Kluyveromyces lactis: one gene and its partner. The protein of the gene in region 1 binds, or shares a complex with, the protein of each later gene. Links are inferred from orthologs where the notes say so. Each region holds a gene or a part of one and is shown in the gene's direction. Other genes may lie near its edges.

The links. The genes of interacting proteins can lie anywhere in the genome.
Region 2: DDC1 (region 1) and RAD17 share a complex: the UniProt entries of both Saccharomyces cerevisiae proteins name them as parts of the checkpoint clamp complex. The link is inferred for Kluyveromyces lactis from reciprocal best matches to the Saccharomyces cerevisiae genes DDC1 and RAD17.

The regions. Positions count from the first base shown.
Region 1 is NC_006041.1:1,722,577-1,727,877, reverse strand, and holds DDC1 (Ddc1p), read left to right. Parts: upstream 1-2,117; coding exon 2,118-3,779; downstream 3,780-5,301. Other genes in the region: APL5 (Apl5p), read left to right, coding at 1-1,928; pyruvate transporter MPC1, read right to left, coding at 3,978-4,352; RSA1 (Rsa1p), read left to right, coding at 5,103-5,301. UniProt on the Saccharomyces cerevisiae protein: Component of the checkpoint clamp complex involved in the surveillance mechanism that allows the DNA repair pathways to act to restore the integrity of the DNA prior to DNA synthesis or separation of the replicated chromosomes.
Region 2 is NC_006042.1:15,496-19,937, forward strand, and holds RAD17 (Rad17p), read left to right. Parts: upstream 1-2,186; coding exon 2,187-3,299; downstream 3,300-4,442. Other genes in the region: KLLA0_F00286g (uncharacterized protein), read left to right, coding at 1-643; ubiquitin-protein transferase activating protein PEX22, read right to left, coding at 1,572-2,042; RPS12 (40S ribosomal protein eS12), read right to left, coding at 3,551-3,955. UniProt on the Saccharomyces cerevisiae protein: Component of the checkpoint clamp complex involved in the surveillance mechanism that allows the DNA repair pathways to act to restore the integrity of the DNA prior to DNA synthesis or separation of the replicated chromosomes.

The DNA.
Region 1 (5,301 bases):
AACCAAAACTACGGTATAAGATCCTACCAAAAGTTTTAGAATTGATGGATAAAACTACTGCCATTTCTGTGATTTATGAATCGATCAACTGTATTGTAAAGGGTCAAATGCTGGAAGAAGATGACTATGATACCGCACATCAGTGTTTGAACCATTTGGAATCGCTTGTCCAATCACTTGATCCAAACTTGAGATACATCAGTTGTGTGTTGTTCTATCATATTGGTAAGATTAACTTCGAATTCATTATGCAATATGATAAATTGGTGATAGGCTTGTTGAAAGATGTGGATATATCGATCAGAACCAAAGTATTGGAATTATGCTCTGGTATAGCATCAACTGACAACATCAAAAATTTAGTTAGAATTCTAATCAAGCAATTTGTGGATGTGGATACAGTGCATGTCAATGATCAAGGTGTTCAAATAGACATTCCTTTAAACTATAAAGTGAAAGTTGCCAAGACTGTCTTAGATGTCTGTTGTATAAATGATTACGAGAATATCAATGGTGACTTCGACTGGTACTTGAAAATATTGACGGATCTCTGTATAGTTTCACAAGATTTGAATAATTTAGAGGTATCAACTTTGTTAGGTGATAACTTTAGAAACATTATGGTCAAAGTTCCAAGCATGAGGGATGCGGCTTTAGAACAATTAATCAAATTGACTACAAACGATGATATTATCGCCAAGCTTCCTAACCTACTAAAGGAAGGAATATGGTGCTTTGGGGAATATTCCGAGTTAATTGATAACTGTGACACTCTCGTTGGCATACTCCTAAACAAAGCCAATAAACTTCCAGACACCGTGATACAGACAATGATTCCTGCATTAGTGAAATTATTCTCAACCTATGCTAACACAGAGGGTAGAACCAAATCTGAAATATCAGATCTTCTTTCTACACTAATCGCATTCATGGAACAAAAATACAGATCAACGAATTTTGATATACAAGAACGAAGCGTAGAGTTCTATGAAATGTTAAAACTCTGTCAAGATGCTTTGCAAGATGAAACGGAAGGGTTACCTCTATTAATTACCGACGTTTTACCTAGTCTTTTCAATGAGTATGAACTTGGCCCAATGTCACACGGACAACAACAGCAGTTGGTTAAGGCGTTAACACTCGATTTAGACACTCCATTTTTATCTTCTGTTGAACTCGAAGAATTAATGAAAAATGAAGAACTATATGAAGATGAAGCTGCATATTATTCCGACAAGGAGAGCGTTAAATCTGCTGCAAGCGCTGGAAGTTCTGACGGATCTGTAACTCAGGATATCTCGTCAGAGAAAGACATTTCAATGACAGAAGAAGAACTTGCTGCTTTAGAAGAGCGCAGAAGACAAGAGAGGTTGGATAATCCGTTTTATTTGAATGATGATAAAATTGACCGTGCAGAAACGAAATTGATAGAATTGAGTGATAACGATGATGAGGGTGAAACAAAAACAATCGAACCCGTCATCAAAATTTCGACGAAAAAGAAGAAATCTAATAAGTCACCATCTGTACAAATTTTGTCAGATATTGTAGTGGCTCCACCATCCACTATCACAAAGGAGGGGAAGAAGAAATCAAATACTTCTGGGCATTCAGATGCGATAACTCTTTCCACATCGAATAAATTCAAATCTTTTGATTTTAGTCGAAAGGATAACATTGATTACGACGGTGAATACACTGTTGATCAAGAGGAGTTGGAAAAGCTAAAAAATAAACTTGCAGAACAACACATTAGTGACAATTTAACAGCCATCCAAGATGACAAAGAAGAAGTCATAGTTATTAAAAAGAAAAAGAAGAAGAAAACCAAAGATGGCAGTAAGAAGGAAAAGACTAAGAAAAAATATAAAGAGCCCGCTGAAAAAGCTTCAACTCCAGCAATTTCTCTAGCTCCAAACGAATCATAATAACAGATTAATATAATCACTAATCCATTCGCACTATTTCTTTATAGACATAGGTTCAAATATTTAATCTGTAAAAAGATAAATCACGTAATTGCAAGAAAAAACACGAACTTTAGATCTAGTGAAGAGTTTTTTATCACCGCCAGATAAAGGGATTCTGACTGGAAGTTGTGACAACAGGCCATTGCAATGTCATTTCGTGCTTCCATAAACAGCACGAATGAACAGACCATATGGGGTAAATGCTTGGCAACTCTTTCTCAAATAAACCCTGATGTCTTCATAACAATCACCGAAAATGGTGTATTGATATCATCCATGAATGCAACAGACACGACCATGGCCAAGGTACGATTTCCTAAGTCGTTCTTTACAGAGTATCACTTCGAGCCGAAGAAGATTGTATTTGGTGAATCTGGAGTGCAGCAGATCACCGATTGTAATGACATTCTTCACACAATTTATAGTTTCAAAGCGAATGCAAAGTATCTTTCCCTATTATCACTTAAACAAGAGGATACAATTAAAGAATACATGTTAACTATCGACAATTGTGATAATTGTTCTGAAACTATAGCTAACAAACTCATAATCAAAATGAAGACAGCATCTTTGCTAACTAAAGAATATCAAGTTAATTTTGATCCATTGGAAAGTGTTCAGATCATATTAAGTCTGAAATATAAACAAAAATTCCTTTCAGTATACAACAACAAAAGTAAGGGCAGATCATTAGATCCTCGGTTAGTGGATTATTTCAAATCTTTACAAACAGAATTAGAACATGATATGTTTAATAGAGGTATCGCCAATGAACACAATATTGTGAGCACAGTGAAAAATACACCGTTGACGGTTAACGACGAAATCAACTTCTTAAGTTTTGATCAATCAATACTAAGAAACTTCATTGACTCTATTATGTCTAATGTGATCGAGGAAATAAAATTGGAATTGACGAGACATACTCTAGCCATAATAGGATTTACAAAAGCCGTGTACAACATGAAAAGTCAAGGGTACCTCAAACAAGCAGTTACAGTAACGAATACATGTAGCGCAAATGATCTAGAACATTACTGCATATTTTCAACAGAAAAAAACGACGGTTCGAGACCTTCAAGCAGATCACAAAGTATTAAGAAGAGCATTACGTTCAAATTACGAGATTTCAAAGTATTCTTAAATGGACTTAATTGTTGGAAAACAAATGACATGATAAGAATCTGGTTTTGCCAACCTGGTGACCCCATTCTCTTTGAAATAACAAAAGATGGGGTTGTATTGGAATTAGTGCAGGTAACTGATACCGAGGGTAGGGTCGAAGAACCAGAGGATTCTGTCACCCAATTTAACCTGTCACCAGAAAAGATAGTTTCACCAATCAAGAAGGATACCGTAGTGAAACCAGATAAGCTTCAAAGGCCGGAAAGTAAGCAGATGCTGTATCCACATACAAAACGCTCACTATTTATAACGGATGAGGATGGAGCAGATGATGATGACGAAGACGAAGAAGGAAGGCAATTCAGGTTTAAAAGGTGGGGGAAACAAAATAGTAACACTACTCCCAATTCAAACACTGGCTCCCAGTCAACACCATCGAACACAACAACCGAGCCGTCAATTAGCGAGCCAGTAAAGAGAATGAGAACAACTGTCGAATGGGGAGGAACAATTGAATCGAACAATGTCGGTACAGATGAATCTCATCAAAGAGAAATGAACAAGGCTGCTTATCTAAATAATTTGAAAAGACAAGCAATCCAAGAAGATCTCAATCTACAGGAAGAAGATGATGGCATGGGTCCCACACAAGCTGACAGACCTAAAGGTTTGTTCGACTCTTGATAATAAAGAACGAAAGAAGTACTTTATTTTTCATTTCGAAATGAATTCATAAACTGTAATTGAACATATAGACATATAATATACAGTACGTAAATAAACTTAGCATTAAATCTTAGATAACAGACCTACACAGTAGTGTAATCTAAGCCATGGGAGAAAGAATGTTGTTTTGTCGGCAGGTTACATTTTCTCTTGCATCTAGGCTGTCTTGGCGACATTGGCGTCAGTAGCGTCAGCTTTCTTGCCACCTAGATAATGATGGTTTAAATATCTGTAACCTTGCACAAGTTGGGCTGTTTCATTCACAACGTGACAACCGAATAACAAGAAGTTCCTTGGGGTAACAGCTAGGGAATATCTCATAAACACACCAGAGTACATCACTAGAGCCAGCGTCATAGGTCCAGAAATCATCTCCGGATCCTTCTTCAAATCGTAGATGGCAGCAATTGGGATACCGAAGTTTGAAACTGGACCCCAGAAATGTGTGGTGAAGACATACTTTAAAGTTTCCTTGTTAATGTATTTGGAAATCAAAGATTGACTAGCAGCTCTCTGTACTGGTTGGGACATGATTCAGGGATTATAAACTGTTGCCGAAGTATAATTTACTGAGTTAATATTAACGTAAACCAAACTAAAAAAAGAAGGATAACAATGAATGAATGGGAAAACGAGAGGCCAACTAATAACTCAGATCGAGTACCAAGAAGTTCTTCAATGTACCTTTAAATCTTTTCTGAAAACATTTAAACATTTTTGTTGAGCTTTAAAAGTCTTCAAGGTTTCGAAGCTTGAAAAATTCACCGCTGCAATACGATTTTCACTGGTAAACCCGTTGGTGAGAGACTACCCACTGCACAGCTGATGGAAGTAAGAGGTATAAAACTACATACATGGAGGGGCCGCATAACCACCAACTTATAAGCCGACATATTGGGGGATAGATTTCTGATTACTCTCAGTGGTTAACTTGGTCAAAATCCGTCTCTCTTATGATTGGTAATAAGAAGACGTATATCAGTAAGGTCACGTGATATAGATGACACTGCGTAAAAGCTATAGCACCAGTGGAATGACTTGCGGGGACCCTTATGAGCCTGTTTGACTGTTACATATTTCAGAATATGTTTCACGGTTTACGAAGCATCAGTTACCGGTTTAAAACTTCAACACCTTTCTCCAGAACATTATGTATGTGAACGTAGGAAATTTCTTTTCATTATCTATTCATCTCATCTCATCTCATCTCATCTCATCTCTATCTGTTCAATTAATGAATATGATGGGAAGAAAGGCCCCAGGGAAGAGTATTCGAGCAACATGAATGGTCAAAACGTGTACAATAACTCTTCACAGGGCGGATCTGTGAATAATAATCTTTTGCAACATACGTTACAAACCACGCGAATGCAGTATTATCCGATACCTCAGATGAATCAACCCAACCAATACGGTGTCCCCGCTATGCAGCATGCACCAATGGGAATGAGATATGGGACCCACCATCCTTTCTATCCGA
Region 2 (4,442 bases), on another chromosome or scaffold:
CCAACAGAACCAATTGTATGTTGATATCGGTGTCGACAACCTAGGATCTTCATTGGTTTCTGCGGCTGGGAGTGTTTGGGACATTCTACTGTACTTGATATTCGCTTTTGTTATCCTCAACTATCCAAATCAAAGTGGTTATATTGCAGCCGGTTGTCTGATTCTACCAATTGCGTCCAGTATTGCGATGGTTACAATAGATTGGTCCAACAAATATGCGTTGTTAGCCTGTATGATCTTAGCCGGCTCCTCAAAGGGTATCACATACATTATTGCTTTGGGATGGACGACATCATCTGCAGCCGGTTATACCAAGAAACTCTACAGGAACGTAATGTTTATGTTGGCATATGGCGCTGCAAACATCATTTCTCCTCAACTCTGGAATCCAAAGGATGCCCCAAGATACTATCCATCCTGGATTATTCAAATTGTGGTTTCATTCTTCCTTAATATTGTTATTTTGTTAACAATCAGATACATTTTGGCGAAAAGGAACAAAGAAAGGTATCAATGGGTTCAAGAACATCCAGAAGACAACTTTGGTATTGTTTCTTTCACAGAAGGAGTCAACGAAAGAGTTAATCTAGCCATGCTAGATCTTACCGATTTTGAAAACAAAAGATTTATCTACCCACTATGAGTTACCTTTAGTAGGAGTGTATAATTTTGGGATGGAGCAACTATCATTCTGTAAATCGTTCGTCAATTTCTACAAATTTACCCAAAGCTCTGTTCTTTTCAACTGCATATATCCACATTTCTAGAACGTCATTTTATGGAAATATTGTATATTTGAAAATGGGGCATCGCTATGTGGACGAGTACGAATAGAGCCTTTCACAATCCATAAATAGCTCCAAAGACACATAAGCAGAAATTTCTTGTGTTATCGTGGAAGCTATTACTATGGCTTTGTTGATCCTGCATATCAAATAGCATTAACAAGCCACTCTTTCTTTTAAGTTGCTGAAATATCAGTTAATAACTGTCAGTCCAATTATTTCCTCAAAAGAACATTGTCTTGCTACACTTCACTGCACTATCCTTTGGTCCTTAGGATCAATTATATAAGCGCCAAAATAAAGAGGTAATGAAGATCAGTTTTGAAATTGGCGATAACATTTTATTTCGGCCCTATGCTGTGCTATACCATCCTGTCTCTAAGACAGTTCCTAATATTATATCATTGAGGCCATTCTGTTAAGGAATGCTGTTTTTTTTTATATTGATTCCAGTGCATGTTGAGGCAGGAGTAAGGATGTGAGAAATCTAGTAACCTTCTTCGGGTGATACAATGCGTATGTCGGCTTTCTGCTTTTACAGTACTTGATTGTTTAATAAAGTCCTTCAGCTTGCATGTTGTTGTTATAGCCGAGTACTCTTTATTTGTAGAATACACAATCACGAACATCAAGCATAGTATGCATTGCAGTTCAATAGCAAATTTCAATATGGTAGATTTCTAACCATTTCATTCAGCCAGAAGTTCTGTTAGAGATAAGTTTACGATGTAAACATTATAGTACTATTATAATAGCATACATTAAAACTGATGTAAATTTCAGATTTCAAATGTGCGAAATCTGTCCCACATACCTCCTGAGATCTACTGGCATATCAGAAGTCTTATCACGACTTATTACCAACTCGTATTTCTTTAAATGCCTAACTGCACTCCAAACGGCCGATGAATTGTTAAAGATGACAATCTTATGTTCAATAGACGATAGCTGTAACTTTAAATGATTTCCTAAGTGGGCAACTTCTGGTAAAACTAACATTACGCTGTCTTTTGATAGTTCTTCTTGCCAATTTTCGATCTTATCGAACAAGTCTTGTGTAAGAACGTAACATTTCGACTTTGGTTTTACGTCTCTTATATTCGGGTTTCGCTGGCCACGATACAGATATAATAAATAACCTACAGTTACTGCCACTGTCGATAATACCCCAACAGCTATAATCGAAAGCTTCTTTTGCCGGGCTTGCTTCATAAGGGACTTGTTTAGCCAATTGGTGGTTTCCTTATCTCCTCGCATATAATGGCAATGAGGTTTCTATTTATGATTTTGATTCCATTTCACTTGTTTTTATAAACAATATATCAGTATGTACAATACATAAATAAGTAGAAACCAGAGAACCGTCAACATCTTGAACCCTTAATCTTTCGGCAACCCACAATGATAGATTCTCCTATTTTTTATGCGACGACTGTCCATTTGGATCATATTGTGACGGCTTTGAATTGTTTAACACCTTTTGGAGTGAAAGGTGAAATGCTCATCACCATAGATAAAAATGGTTTGTCCTTTGCCCAAGAAAACAATCATGTAATCAAGATCCAATTGGTTCTTTCACGGGAGTTATTTCAAACCTTTCACTATAGCCCGATAACTGAAACATCTTTGACCAAGGTATCCCTGCGGCTTGACCATGTATTGGATAGTTTGAATATCAGTAACGATCGGAACGATATAATTGAGTGTACTTTAACATATAATGGGGATGGATCCCCATTCATATTAATATTCGAAGATAACATGATCACTGAAAGCGTCGAATACTCAACATATCTGCTCAAAGACTTAGACAACACTGGGTTGGTACTAGATAGAACGCGACTGCAATTCGAATGCATAATAAAAGGGGATGTCTTACACAATGCCTTACACGATTTGAAGGAAATTGGATGCAAAGATTGCTATTTTTATGCGATACATAACGAAACCACCAAAAAGCCCTTATTCGCATTGATTTCAAGATCTCAACAAGGTTTATCTAAGATCATATTACCTAATGAGAGATCGATTTTAGAGAAGTTCGAAATATACGCAAATGATTCAACCACCCTCTTATATGATCATCCAATGATAAGTGTTTTTGATTATGGAATGCTAGACAAAATACGAGCCAGTGCTCGGATTGCTTCAAAAATCATGATACGTAGAGATGTACATGGTTTGATGACTGTTAATATATTGAATGAAACGAAGGATATACTAAGACCTAATGACCAGGAGTATAAGAGGACTAGAGCCATTTCAGGTAACAATCTACCAAGTCATTATCCTGGGATAATTATTGAGATATGCATGCTTGAGAAAGCTCTTCCAGAGCTTCCAGACGTAAATGAGATAAAAGTAATGATGATTGAATATATGGGAAGTGAATCGCGCCATAATTTCCTTCCCAATACACAACAACCGCCGAAGAAAACTGCACATGACGATAAAGAAGAGGAAAATAGTGACGGGTATGAAGCTGCTTCGCAAGATTTGCCGCTATTCTTCTAGCGCAACCCTGCTTCGACAAGCTGAATTAATCAGGTTGGAATTAACGTCATTTTAGGTATAGATGGAAACTATTTGTAAACATATAGATACCCTAGAATATATATACAAACTATAAAATAGAGCATTTTATCAAACCAAACAATGTCCATATTCCCATGAAGAAATCTGTTTATGTTATTGTTGAGTATGAGAAAAATGAGTAAAACAGAAGCGTTAAATTGGATTTGAACATAGATTCAAAATCCACTCATTTATTGTTGGCTGAAATGTTCCAAAAGAATTTCTCTTTCTTGGGTGTCAGCACCCCAGTTCTTAACAACAACAACGGAAGCACCGACGACCTTTCTGGCGTTACCGTCACGGTCGATCTTACCCAAACCGGCCCATTCACCTAATTGCTTGGCATCAGCAACCTTGATTAATGGAACGTTGTTTTCAGTGGCCAAACCTTGGACCAACTTGCTGATGGCTTCTTCAGTAACCGATTCAACCAAAACAGCTAGTTGACCTTCACCTCTGGTCAAAGCCTTGGCAGATTCTCTCAAACCTCTGGCCAAACCATCGTGAACCAAAGAGGTTCTCAAGACGACCTTTAGGGCATCTTCGATGGTCAATTCAGCGACTGGGACTTGTTGGACTTCTTCAACGTCAGACATTTCTAATTTGATAAAATTTTCTAAAGTATTGACTTCTTCGACAGTGGTACTGCTCCGTGAAGACTTTAGAATAACATAAAACTAAAAACATACTAAACTAATAAGAAGACCATCCGAAACGTTTTATTCAATACTCTTCAACATATTAGCTTAAATCATGGGAATTCAAAATATAAAGCTTCCACCATTCACCGTGAAAAATAACTTTAAGGTTTAGCGCACTATATACGTTCAACACTTAAGATATTTCAGAATCAACAGACGACAGCGGAGGGCAGAACAACTGCGTCCTTTTCTTTCGCTGTAATGTCCAGGTGTTTTCGTGAACATTTTTCTTAAGACTAGTCCGTGGTGGCGCGTACTATGTTGACGTGTAGATGCCATATTTGGAAATTCTTTAGTTTTCTTCAGATTTGAGGAGGATTTTGGAATATGTACGGGTGCAAACAAATATGACAGTCACTGGTATTTTAATCTTGTTCAAGTC